3 linked regions of the Solanum lycopersicum genome follow. The main gene of each other region encodes a partner of the protein of the gene in region 3 in a complex. Links are inferred from orthologs where the notes say so. Each region holds a gene or a part of one and is shown on either strand. Other genes may lie near its edges.

Region 1 (4,100 bases), on a different chromosome or scaffold from region 3:
TGTAGCAATAACCATAAAAACAATAGTTGATTGGTTAATAGGTAGATAGCAATATTATTATTCAAATATTGAAGACCAATCTAGGAAAAATTCATGCCTAGTATGATTTATAGTGAGCACGGCAATGCTGTGCAACAACAACAACATACGCAGTGAAATCCCACAAGTGGGGTCTAGGGATGGTAAAGTGTGTGCAAACCTTACCACTACCCTGTGGAGGGTAGAGAGGCTATTCAACAACTGAAAATCAACAACTGAAAATCAACAAAGTAGGCAGCTTGATAAAATAGTTTAAGAGAGAGAAGATATAGCTGTGTCCACGTCCCATTCTCACACCAACAGCGACAGCCTAACTACTTCTGGATCAGACTAACCAGAGGTGATGGTTAAAGCACAATTCCAAATTAGGCATATGTAGCAAACCAGCAATCCACGATAAAAATGTTCAAGGGGAAAAACACAAAAGGCTTGTGAGCAGTGCTTGGGAAAGAAGTCTCATTTAACCCTGACAACCTTCACAAAAGGTGCACATTCTAGATGGAATATTTTGTGTAAATATTTTTTGATAAGCCATTTTGTCTACATATAAAGAGCATGATTTGCTTAGTTTTTTCTAGTTTTGTCAGAAGATGCAGTTGCAGTTGAATTGATCATCAGAAATACAAGTGAAAGGACCAGCACAATGAAAGGAGAGCCACAAACCGATCTGGGTCTCTTCTTAAAGTCAAAAGCTTTGGTTGCGCTGTCGGATCTGGTAATTCATTTCTGAATCTGCAGAGAACACACAAAAATTACAGAATGCTCAGCAATATTTAATATGTAAAACAACTTGTTTGTCCCATATGATAGCATACCATAGTCTTTTCACAAATAATCCTAACAGAGAAAGGAACATTTTCAAAGACATGACATAATAGAAGAGAAGTCATTCAGTAAATAACTAAATACACTTACCATTTGAATAAATGATGTTCATTAAGTTTATCACCAACCTACCCTAGGGAACAAACATCACATGTAAAGTTCACCCTTACAACGACCCAAACTGAAACCACACCGACAAGAACAAATTTGAACAGAACTAGAAGAAAGCACAAACTAAAAAGGATCTCAAAGCATCGCAACAAGATGTCATGTGCTATGGGGGTGAATGGTAAGGTTATAGTTGCATGCTTAAAGGGTTATTTATCGTCTCATTACAAGGAAAGTCAAATCATATAATGGTATGTAACATTCCGAAGTATCCCAAACTAAACATTACTTTCGACCAACCAGTGTGTTTGAAAACTCCAATCTCCAGCAGAGCCGACACTAGAAAATATCAGGTAACTAATCCAACATAGAAATAGAATAATTGGAATATTTAAGGATCAAACAATCACTTGGCTGTAAATCCAGAATTAACGTCTTACTTTAACTTGCAAAGAAATGTTGTCGGCTTCTTCAACCGGTTTTCTGTCCTCTCTCCACTTAACAAAGGGGTGGTTCTTCTGTCAGCCATATGTGATGCGCTGATCGACCCATGACCCTTCGTACCAGAAGTTAACATTTGGGTTTTCTGCAGAACCTTATTCTGTGATTCTTTCAAATGCTGCCTATTCTTCTCTTCATGCCTTTGCTTTTCTATCTCTCTCTTCTTCCTTGACCTCCTCTCTTCCTCAGTCTCAACCCTTCCTGAATGAGCATTGGATTTTTTCATTGGCAATGGGGGAACAGAATGGTCTGGCTGTTTAGAACGAGCAGTGTGGTTACCATGCCTTGATTCACGCCAACCAGACTCTCGCCTTTTCTCTACACTGTGCCTGCTTTCATTACGTTGTTTCTGAGGGGGAACTGATGAAGGAGGTGGCGGAGGGGACGGTGGCTGAGAAGGTGGGGGAGGAGGAGGAATAGCAGAAGTTGGAGGAGATGAAGGTGGAGGGGGTGGAGGTGGGGGCTCCAAGGGATGGTTTTGGCTATACTGGGAGTCCTGAGAAGATGGATAATACATTGGAGCAGGAGGGGGAGGAGGCTGCCCAGAAGGTGGTGGGGGAGGTGGATATGAAGAATCCGCAGGAGGAGGAGGCGGAGGTGGATACTGATTTCTGGTGGCAGGAGGTGGAGGAACGTAACCAGGATGCTGATAATTTGAACCCTGGTGTACCTGAGAGTAATTCTGCTGAGCATACGAAGATCCATCATTCACCCCATAACCCCCCCAATTCTGCGAGTACTGACTTCCCCTGGATTGAGACGGCGGTGGCGGAGGGTTCTGATTCTGCGGAGGCGGTGGCGGAGGAACAAAACTCGACTGCGATGATGGAGGAAATGGCCTATACGAAGCCATGGGACACTCAACAACAACTCCTCCAAATGCAAACTAAAACCCTAGAACCACAAAATAAGCTCTACAATTCACAAATCCTCTTTCTTACCACTTCAGATTTACCTATAGCGCGCACACACAAAAAAAAAATCAAATCAAAAGAACCCTAATGAAAACAAAACAAATAATTCATTGAATTCAGCATTCTCAAAATCCAAAAACTGGGTAACCTAACCCAATACAATATTGAACCCCTTCTCAATTCTGCAATTCAAATTTGATAATGGAATTCGAATTCGAATCAATCAAATGAAGCAGAAACACAGAGAAAACGAATAGCAGTTCAAATTAAACAAGGAATCAATTGGAACATGAAGAGGGAATTTGAGTAGGAGACAAAGTGTTTGTTTAGCTCAGCAAAATTGGCACTTGAGTTAGCATCACCAATATATAGCCGTCGCCTATGTTTTTGCAACTTTCCCAAAAAAAAAACAAAAAACTTTCTTTGACCAAATATAAGAAAAAATTACTCTTTTCTTGTCCAATTCAAATTTTGCACATTATTTAAAAATTAAAAATGATAATTAATATCACTTACTAATGGTGAAAAATAATTTGAAGAATAAGTAACAATCTATTTTTAGAATAGAATAAAGAGAGTAACATCAATTTCTAACGAGACACGAGATTTACATGTTTATTTATTCACAGAAAAGTATTCAGGATTTCGAAATAATAAGTTCATTATTATAAAAAGGCGAATCTATTAGATCTGATATTTAGATTCTTGTTACTGAAAACAGTTAAAATTTTGAATTACAGTTAGATTCTTATTAGTGACAATGGTTAGAATTTTAAATTACAGTTAGATTCCTATTAGTGACAACGGTTAGAATTTTAAATTACAGTTTCAAAATTGAAATGCTTAATAAATTAAACCGCCAAAAAATTGTTATCAATATCCACCTATAAAGACGTTACTAAATCTTAAAAAGAAACATAGAACAATTTAGATATAAAACTCAAATTTCTAATCTCAGTGAGAGGTGCATTCAATCATCGTCGCATTATATGATACATCAAGTGTGATCACACATTTATGTTTAACAAAAAATTAAGAAAAATATACAACATTACTATTTCAACTGGAAGCATGAGTTTATATGAACCCGATAATTCCCTCCTGCATACGACTCTGTTTATTCATAATACTAAAAATGAATGTTCACTTTTACTTGTTCAGTTTAGTAAACAAAAGATATTTTCTCACTTAATTTCTAATTTATTTTTATTATTAATTATAAAATCATTTTTCTAATACATTTATCGAAATATTAAATTTATTAAAAATAGATATTTATTCAATTTTAAAAAAGTTTAATGATTTGAGAAACATGAAAGCTAGCATAATACAACTATGCTTAAACCATACTATAAATTAAAAAGCTAAAGTTTATTTTGTGGAAAAATTACCCAAATTCCCAACCATATAACACAGGCTAGTTGAGCTTGTTGGGCTAACAGTTGTTGCTAGAAATGTGAGTAATTTTCCTCGATAGTCACTTGAGAAATTACCTAAGAATATTACTTATGTTTGTTTTAGAATTATAATATCATTCAATTTTATTTATTTTTTTCAAATTATACTAAATACAAAATATACATTATCTCACTCTTATTAAGATGTCATGTCACATTATTTATTTATTTATTATTAAAAAATATGATTTAAACCTATTTAAACGTTAGGTTGCAATATGTTTTCTTTAAAAATATTATTTTCTATTTATGTTTT
Region 2 (3,652 bases), on a different chromosome or scaffold from region 3:
CCAGAACCACAGAAAAACCAGATATAGCAGTTGATAGCTTGTAGTGCCACCAAGTTGCGGCAAAAATGTAAGGGAAAGGGATATGGTCATACGGCAAGCAGCCCATTTGGTCTTGAAAGTCTCACCAACATATTTAGCAATCATTAAGGTCTTACTCAGAAAGTCCAGCTGAGGAAGCCTTACCCTGACCAACATGTTTATAAAATTATTCTCAAACAAATTACTGGCAGAGAACATCTGACACGTATTCCCAGGAATATGGCATGCAGAGTCGAGCACTAAACAAATCTTGTTGAACCATCTCACTAACCAATATGAGAAGGCCTATGTGTCTAGAAAGTTTACAACAGTACTGGGACAAGAGTTTAAAACAGGCAGATTAAGAAATACCAAACAAAAGTAAGGAATTTCCCAGTAAAAGTTTAAGCTTCTCACAGTTACCTATTAATTAAATGCAACACATGATCAAGAAGATTCAGATGGTTTATTACTAGAATATGAAGAACAGCTTCCTACCTCCTCCTGTTCCGACTCTTCATCATATGCTTCTTCCTCCTCACCCTGATCACGCTCTTGCTCTTCTTCATATTCCGGCTCCTCCTGGACAGCCCTTCTACGTGGTGGAGACCTCTCTTCCTCCTCTTCTTCCTCTTCGGTTTCATACTCAGACTCCTCCTTCTCGCTGTCATCAAAATCAACAGGGCGTCGAGAATGCTTTGGAGCAGACAATGATGTTTGCCTAGGAATATCTTTCTGACAAAGGGGAGAATCTTCATGTTAGCCGATAAAGTAGCAAAAAATAACAAGAAATTTCTTTGATTCCACTTGACTTCTGCACCTTCTTTGCATTAATGATTCGTTTCTCAGCTTGAGCTTCCATTTCTAAGTCTTCATCAAAGCGACGGCGAGCAGCAGACCGTCGAGAGTCATAGTAATCAGTATCCTCTTCCTGATGATGGGAGAAAATTCCAATAGGCAGATAGGAAAGATCAGAGTGGCAACTTTTTCTTATGAAATGCTGAGTAGTTCAACTAATGTCTTCCACAAGGCAACACTTAAATAAACATTAAAACGTGTTTAACAGATAATTCACCCACTTCAGAGCAAGCAGGAATCAGGAGGTTTCAATATATCATGCCACTGAATAACGCTTTCCTACAATATGCATGACAAATGAAAAAATATATATCTAACCTCCTCAGGCCCATCCTCCAAGAAACCAGGAGAGAGTTGGCGCTCCCTACGTAACGTAGGCATGTATTTTCGGCTGACCTTCTCCTTTTTCCGATTGAGGAGTACACCTGCCCTGATTGTTTGGCTTTCAGCCTTCATAGACAAAAAGAAAGTCAGAGTCAACTTATCAGCTACAACGTACCAAGAGCAAAATAAAATCCATTACTCATCAATTTTACCTTCTCCTTTTGCTCTTTCTCCCTCTCAGGGTCAATGTCGGTGAAACAGTTCTTCACTTTGTAAACTTTCTTATGACGTGAATCAACAAGGGCAGTCAATAAACGGTGCGAGTTTGATGTCAATGATGAAGGCATAAACCTCATCTTGTTTAAAATTCTCCCTTGTGATTGTAGTATTCCCTGCGAGTTGGGTGTTTATGCTAAGGATCACAATGCAATAAATGTTTCATAAAGTACATAGACTATAGGTATTGAGATAAGAAAAATTTAATAGTATTCAATAATAAGAGGGAGACATGCAGCCTAACTTTTGTAAAAGGAATAAAGATCACAGGTTGAGGGAGGAAACTGGCAAACTGTCTGAAAAGTTGAAGGGAAAGGAGTCTTCAGGTGGCAAGGAAAGATAAGCACAATGTAGGGACAGATTAAGAGGGGAATTCACATGTGTTCAAGGAGATTTGTGCAAGGAGACTGCCGAGAAAGTCAACAACTTATTTCTTCATTGCAAGTCGCAGGCAGGTTATGGAGTATTATTTTGAACCTTTAAAGCCTAACATGGGTCATGCCAGGCAAGGTTTCTGAACTTCTCAGAAGCTGGGATGAAGTAGGATTATAGCTAAAAATAGGTGTAGGTGGAAACTCATCCCAGCATGCATGTGGTTGACAATGTGGAAGGAGAGGAACAACAGATGCTATGAAGGTGTAGAAAATGAAGTGCAGAAGATCAAGCTTAAATTTATCTTGCTGATCTGTTTTAGGTGTAACCAGTTATACTCTTAATGATTCTGTGTCTATTATTGATGTACTTGATTCATTATAGACAGAGATAGAAGCATTCTAGAGTCCATTTGGTAAATATGGTTACAGCACTACCTAAAGTACTGTTCTGGATAAATAATTGTTTGTTAAAAAAAAAAAATTGTCTGCTGATTTGAAGATAGGACCACTATTTTCCAAGAAATTTCTCAGCCAAAGTAACTAGGATTTTGCATCATATATGACAATAGACATGAGATTCACCTTTCCATGTCTAAGAAACAGGTGTGAATGATCTTGCTGCGCATCTTGGGTAGATATGTCCAGAACTTCATTTCCGATCATTAATTGCACACTGCCATCAGACCATTCCACAAAGCGAGCATTGCTTTCTACCTACATACAGAAACATCCATTCAGTCAGTAGCAAGAAATGCTAAATGAATCAGAAATTTTCTTGATCTGTGAATCCAAACTCACATAAATATTAAAGTGTTATTTAAGTATGATCAATGATAAATAACTAACAAGCAGTCCACCTTGTAGAGTTATATAGACATGCAAGTATCTGTTTCTACTTTCTATGTCAGTCTCTATGACCAAAACACAATGTTTCCTTTAAGACATAATCCTTACTCTTTTTTTGCTGGAGGAGGATTTTACTTGTCATTTCATAGTCCAGCGTTGAAAGCTTTAGCTCCAACATAGACATCAACACTATTTGACCAGCCACCGAATACATTAAATTCAAGATAACCTATTAGGTTTTTGTAAGAAAGACTAGACACATAACCTATTATTGTACCTCCTCGTTTTCTTGATTTCATGTTCATTTGATGTTACCTTATGCCTTTTGTTTCTTCTTTTTTCCCTTTTGTGCTTGTCACATTATAACTGTGATTCTTAGTCAGCTTGCAAGCACCTTGACAGATTCCACGAGTACTTGCTACTCATAACTCTTCCCCCGGGGCTTGGACAGTTGTGAACCGCAAAAAGATCATGCTTCAGTTGGGATTGAGATTTTGAACCCGAGAACCCCTTTCAGAACCCACTTCTTTGACCACTAGGACACACTCTCGAATTTATCCATCCATTAACATTTTGATAATTTTAATTATTATGTGGAATTAGTACTTCAGAACAACAAAAGTTCCATTTCTTGTAAAATAAGAAAGTCTCCTAGCATCATCAGACAACCCATGCCGTATAGCTCAACTTATACTGATGAATCAAGCACGCAACATAAACAAGTGTAAAATTCACATACAGTTGTTGAGCCATAGAGCTCAACTTACACTGATGAATCAAGATGAGATGATTTTATGATCCATCCCCAAGCATATATGTATAAATGAGTTTATTCAAAATTCACTTGCAGTTTTCTTTTTGGAGAAATATAATTCACTTACAGTTGTCGTGCCATCAGGCTTCCTAACTTTCCTCCATCGAACAATGTTGTTAACTAAGCTGAGGCGCTTCTTGGA
Region 3 (4,173 bases):
CTATGATATCCCAAAAAATTGAAGAGCTCAGTGCTGCTTTTTGTAAGCGTAAAGGGAGGTAAATACTCGAAATATTGTTAATAATAAGGAGTGCTTTTCTCATTAAAGCTTAAAAGACCCCTGGTTAACCAGGTCTTTGCTATAGAAGCATAAATTCAAGAAAAGTCTCAACATATTTTAATATAGCAGTAACTGTACTCTTAATTCACAGCTAGTACATGAATCCCCAGTAACAACAATTCATTTGGCTAAACAACAAAAGCAGTAAATCTCAAAGGAGTCCTCTCCTTCTCTTGTAGTCACTAACACTTAAAGTTAGTGCATGTCTTCTGCCATCGTTCTCCGGAACGCTACATCCAACAGTTGCTTCTATCCTCTGTTTGCGAGCCATAAATCCTGCTTGGCCTCCTTGAGACCCTCCAAACTTCTGAAGCACAGCCAACGAGATAGGCAGATCGAAATCATGTAGCGTATTTGATTCTGTTCCTTGATCTACAGGAGCATTTGTGTCCACCAACTTCCCAGCGCCTGCTGCAGCCTGCAAGGCTGCTGCTGTAGCTGCCATTCCTCCGTCAGCAGTTCCACCAGCCCCATTGTTATCTTCAGCTGCCAATGCTGCTGCTGCAGCAGCTTCACCATTGGATGCACCTTTTGCAAAATAATTTGTAGACCTAGTCCACCTTCTAGAGAAGGGATCATACCCAGCCTCACCAGCTTTCAACAGTTGATTCACTGGTCTGAGTTCTGATGCATTTTTGAAATTCTCGACCCTATTCTTCCGGTTCATCTCAGCCAGCCTGCGGGCCTTGTCATCTTTCTCTTGAACCTTCCTGCTATCCTCCAGTTCCTGCAGTCTTGCCTTAATCCTCTCCACTTCTGCTTCGTCATTCTTCATTTTGGCCACTTCCATATCCCTTCTCAAACGATCCTTCTCAGCAGCAACATTAAGTGGCCTCCATGTTGCAGATTTTTTCTGCTGCAACATCTGCTTTACAGTGTCAGCAGAGTAAACAAATGTGTTAGATTTCTGTATGGCCTCTTTTTTTTCCAACACATCTTGCTTACTAGGCATACGACCACCACTTCGTTCTACTTCCCTTACCCACTGATCAAACTCATCCCTCAGAGGAGGAGAGTCTGAAATCATAGCCATCTGCCACCTAGCAGCAGAGTTTTCATTGCCCCAAACAACATTTAGAAATTTGGATGTGGTTTTATTTTCTAGCTTGTATTGTCGATTAGGATCTGAAGCATCAACATTGCGGACCACACAGAGCCTATAGATAGGACCAGACCTTGACCTCCCAATGCCAACTCTTACAAAGCAACCCACAATTAACTCATCAAAGAAGGGCTCCATAAACCATTTTGCCAGTTTTGAACGACGAATAGAGATTTCTTTTATATCCTCAAATGTTGGCAACTGTGACTCCGGTGATGACTTGTCATCATCACTGTCATCCATTCCATCATCAGCTGATGAATCTCCCTCATTACTATGTGAATCACTTTCTCCCCTGGTAGGACTGCTACCTAGAGATGCAGCTGTAAAACTTCTACGTTTGATAGGTGAATAGCCCCTGCTTCCAGAACCTTTTCTAGCTGCATCCCTCAGCTTGAATTGACCCTCGGGATCCTGCTGCTGTCTTGCTCGTTTTGCTCGTATCTCATTCAATGCATCATCTCTGTCAGCTGCCCTATCCAAAGCTCTTGTTGATGAGCGCATGCCACGAGAATGTGAAGGAGGTGAGCTTTGTTTCCTTGGTTGGGCCCGATCCTTGATCATTTTGTCATGCAGACTCCTGTCAGATTTCTTCGCTGCACGATCAGTCAATATCATTTCCCTTTCCAGTTCAGTCATCTGAGCAAGCTTTTGCCGGTCATCATCGTCCTTGTAAAGATCACTGCCAATAGAATCATCATCACTCTCATTGCCATAACCATCTCCATCATTGCCTTCTCCATGGCTGCTATGATCATCATCTCTTTCTTGAGGGTCCAATCTCTTCTTGAGAGGAACTTGTGAACCAGAAAGCTTTCGACCTGAATACCCACGACCATCATCAGAGTCATCATCCCTGGAATCACTTCCATCATCAGAATATGAACTCTTGTGATGTCTTTTAGATGAATGAGGTGGACGATTCCTTCCACCAGTATTTGTTCTACCAGCAGCCTCCAACAGTAAATCAGTTAACTCTTCTTCCATGGTCTTCTATTCCACTCAGCCACTTGCTGAATATCAACAAATTCAAAAACCACGCAAAAATCAACAATTTTGACAAATTATAAACACAACAACAATCAATGTGACTATTAACCGAAAGGAGAACAACGAAACCACCAAACAAGGAAATATAAAACTCTCAGTCAAAACTCAAAAACAATTTGCTGAACGACAACTTCAAAAAAATCAGCAATTTCGACAAATTATAAACATAACAACAATCAATTTGACTATAAAACGAAAGGAGAACAACAAAACCACCAAACAAGGAAACATAAAACTCTCAGTCAAAACTCAAAAACATCAAATACAAACCCTAAGTCTGGATACAGAATAAAATAGAACAACAGAACTAAACTATGCCAATGAGCAAATAATCAGGTAAACATTGATTCAGATCCATTCAACTCTTTCAATCATTATAAAATTTCAAATTTCTGTTCAATCAAGCAAAAATTTTACCATTAACATAATCGCCAAAGGAATAACAGAAATGAAAACAAGTTTGCCGGAGAGAAGAATTAGATACATACAATTGATCTCGCCGATAAGGAGTTCGCCGGAGAGAAATGAAAAAAAAAAAAAAACAAATTAGGGCACAGCAGGAAATATCCGTTTGGGTTAAGATCCACTTTTTTTATTTTTAAATTGACATCAGAAAGAAATTGGGCTTGGGCTATTTCCTTTTGAGTAATAAATTTTGTAAACAACTGTACTTTGGTATCTAATTACAATCGTAGCGATAATTTGGATAATATAGTTTTAAGTTGTTATAATACAAAATAAAATAAAATAATTTAACGATGAAGCTTCAAACTTAAAATATTAGCCAATTTAGTAGGATTGACTAGCCAAATGAGACCTCAAAAATGCTACTTTTTACGAAAAAATAATCTAACAAAATGTTTAAGCAACTATCAAAAATCTAGTGATATTATTCTACTTTTTATATACTATTTTTTTTTATAACAGAATTATTAGTTACTCGTTGGATTTATTCAGAACATTTTTCACTAAGCGATTTATATAAATCATTAATTTTCTTTTCATGAAATTTCTCCTTTATTCGCATACATTTCATATTTCAAAAAAATATTTTAATTTTAATTAAAATAACTGAACCAAGTGTCATTTTGACCCAAGGCTTTGCTATTTCAGAATTTTAACTGAAATACACCAATTTAAAATATTATTATATGCTCTTCAATCGAATTGATTAATAATACACGTAAGTATGATGACATTGGGTTATGTAGCCCTTTTATGTGGATTATTTTTAAAACCAAACTTTATTAATGTGAAGGTTTAGTATTTTTCAAGGGGAATAATAAAATTTGGCCTCATATTTGTGATTTATGCAAAATATTTCAGATATGAGTTATATAATTGATTACTATAATAAGTCATTTCTAGTTACAGAGCTAACAAGAGGACATATTTTTTTTTTATAAAAAGAGTTATAGGAATAAAAAATTCAAATCAGTTCATTCATTATAGTTATATATGTCTCGTTTCTTTTAAAGAAATAATAATAGGCTAAGTTTTGGAGATGTGTCCAAAATTTACATTGCTCTATCAAGTTTTGGTTGTAAACGATGAACTTTTTTTTTTATCTTAATTTAAAAACACTTATTGCTTCTTAAATTTCTCACCGATTTTTCATTTTATAAGTATAGAAAATTTACGTTATTTAATATCTTTTTGCTTATATGCGTATTAAATTCACTTAAATAAAAATAGATGTATTAGTAATTTCTTTATTCTACAAAATATTCAAACGAAATATTTTTCTTATCTTCATTATCACTGATTTCAAAAGAAAACTTCTTCAGCGTGTATGATTTTTTTTACATTGCTGGCTAATAGTAATTTCTTTATCTCTCTATATACATATTTCAAAATTAATTTTTGTCAATATGTAAAGCTTCTTGTATTGTGAGAATAAT

What was found.
Region 1: protein RTF1 homolog (region 3) and protein PAF1 homolog share a complex: the UniProt entries of both Arabidopsis thaliana proteins name them as parts of the nuclear PAF1 complex. The link is inferred for Solanum lycopersicum from reciprocal best matches to the Arabidopsis thaliana genes VIP5 and ELF7.
Region 2: protein RTF1 homolog (region 3) and protein LEO1 homolog share a complex: the UniProt entries of both Arabidopsis thaliana proteins name them as parts of the nuclear PAF1 complex. The link is inferred for Solanum lycopersicum from reciprocal best matches to the Arabidopsis thaliana genes VIP5 and VIP4.

The regions. Positions count from the first base shown.
Region 1 is NC_090802.1:66,089,409-66,093,508, reverse strand, and holds the start of protein PAF1 homolog, read right to left. Parts: upstream 2,845-4,100; 5' UTR 2,327-2,844; coding exon 1,413-2,326; intron 772-1,412; coding exon 703-771; intron 1-702. UniProt on the Arabidopsis thaliana protein: Component of the PAF1 complex (PAF1C) which is involved in histone modifications such as methylation on histone H3 'Lys-4' (H3K4me3). Involved in regulation of flowering time.
Region 2 is NC_090802.1:61,882,106-61,885,757, forward strand, and holds part of protein LEO1 homolog, read right to left. Parts: coding exon 3,578-3,652; intron 2,565-3,577; coding exon 2,433-2,564; intron 1,593-2,432; coding exon 1,413-1,592; intron 1,327-1,412; coding exon 1,195-1,326; intron 950-1,194; coding exon 839-949; intron 754-838; coding exon 517-753; intron 1-516. UniProt on the Arabidopsis thaliana protein: Component of the PAF1 complex (PAF1C) which is involved in histone modifications such as methylation on histone H3 'Lys-4' (H3K4me3). Involved in regulation of flowering time. Required for the expression of the flowering repressor and MADS box gene FLC.
Region 3 is NC_090801.1:59,437,600-59,441,772, reverse strand, and holds protein RTF1 homolog, read right to left. Parts: upstream 2,949-4,173; 5' UTR 2,761-2,948; exon of another isoform or gene 2,690-2,760; intron 2,236-2,689; 5' UTR 2,210-2,235; coding exon 272-2,209; 3' UTR 75-271; downstream 1-74. UniProt on the Arabidopsis thaliana protein: Component of the PAF1 complex (PAF1C) which is involved in histone modifications such as methylation on histone H3 'Lys-4' (H3K4me3). Involved in regulation of flowering time.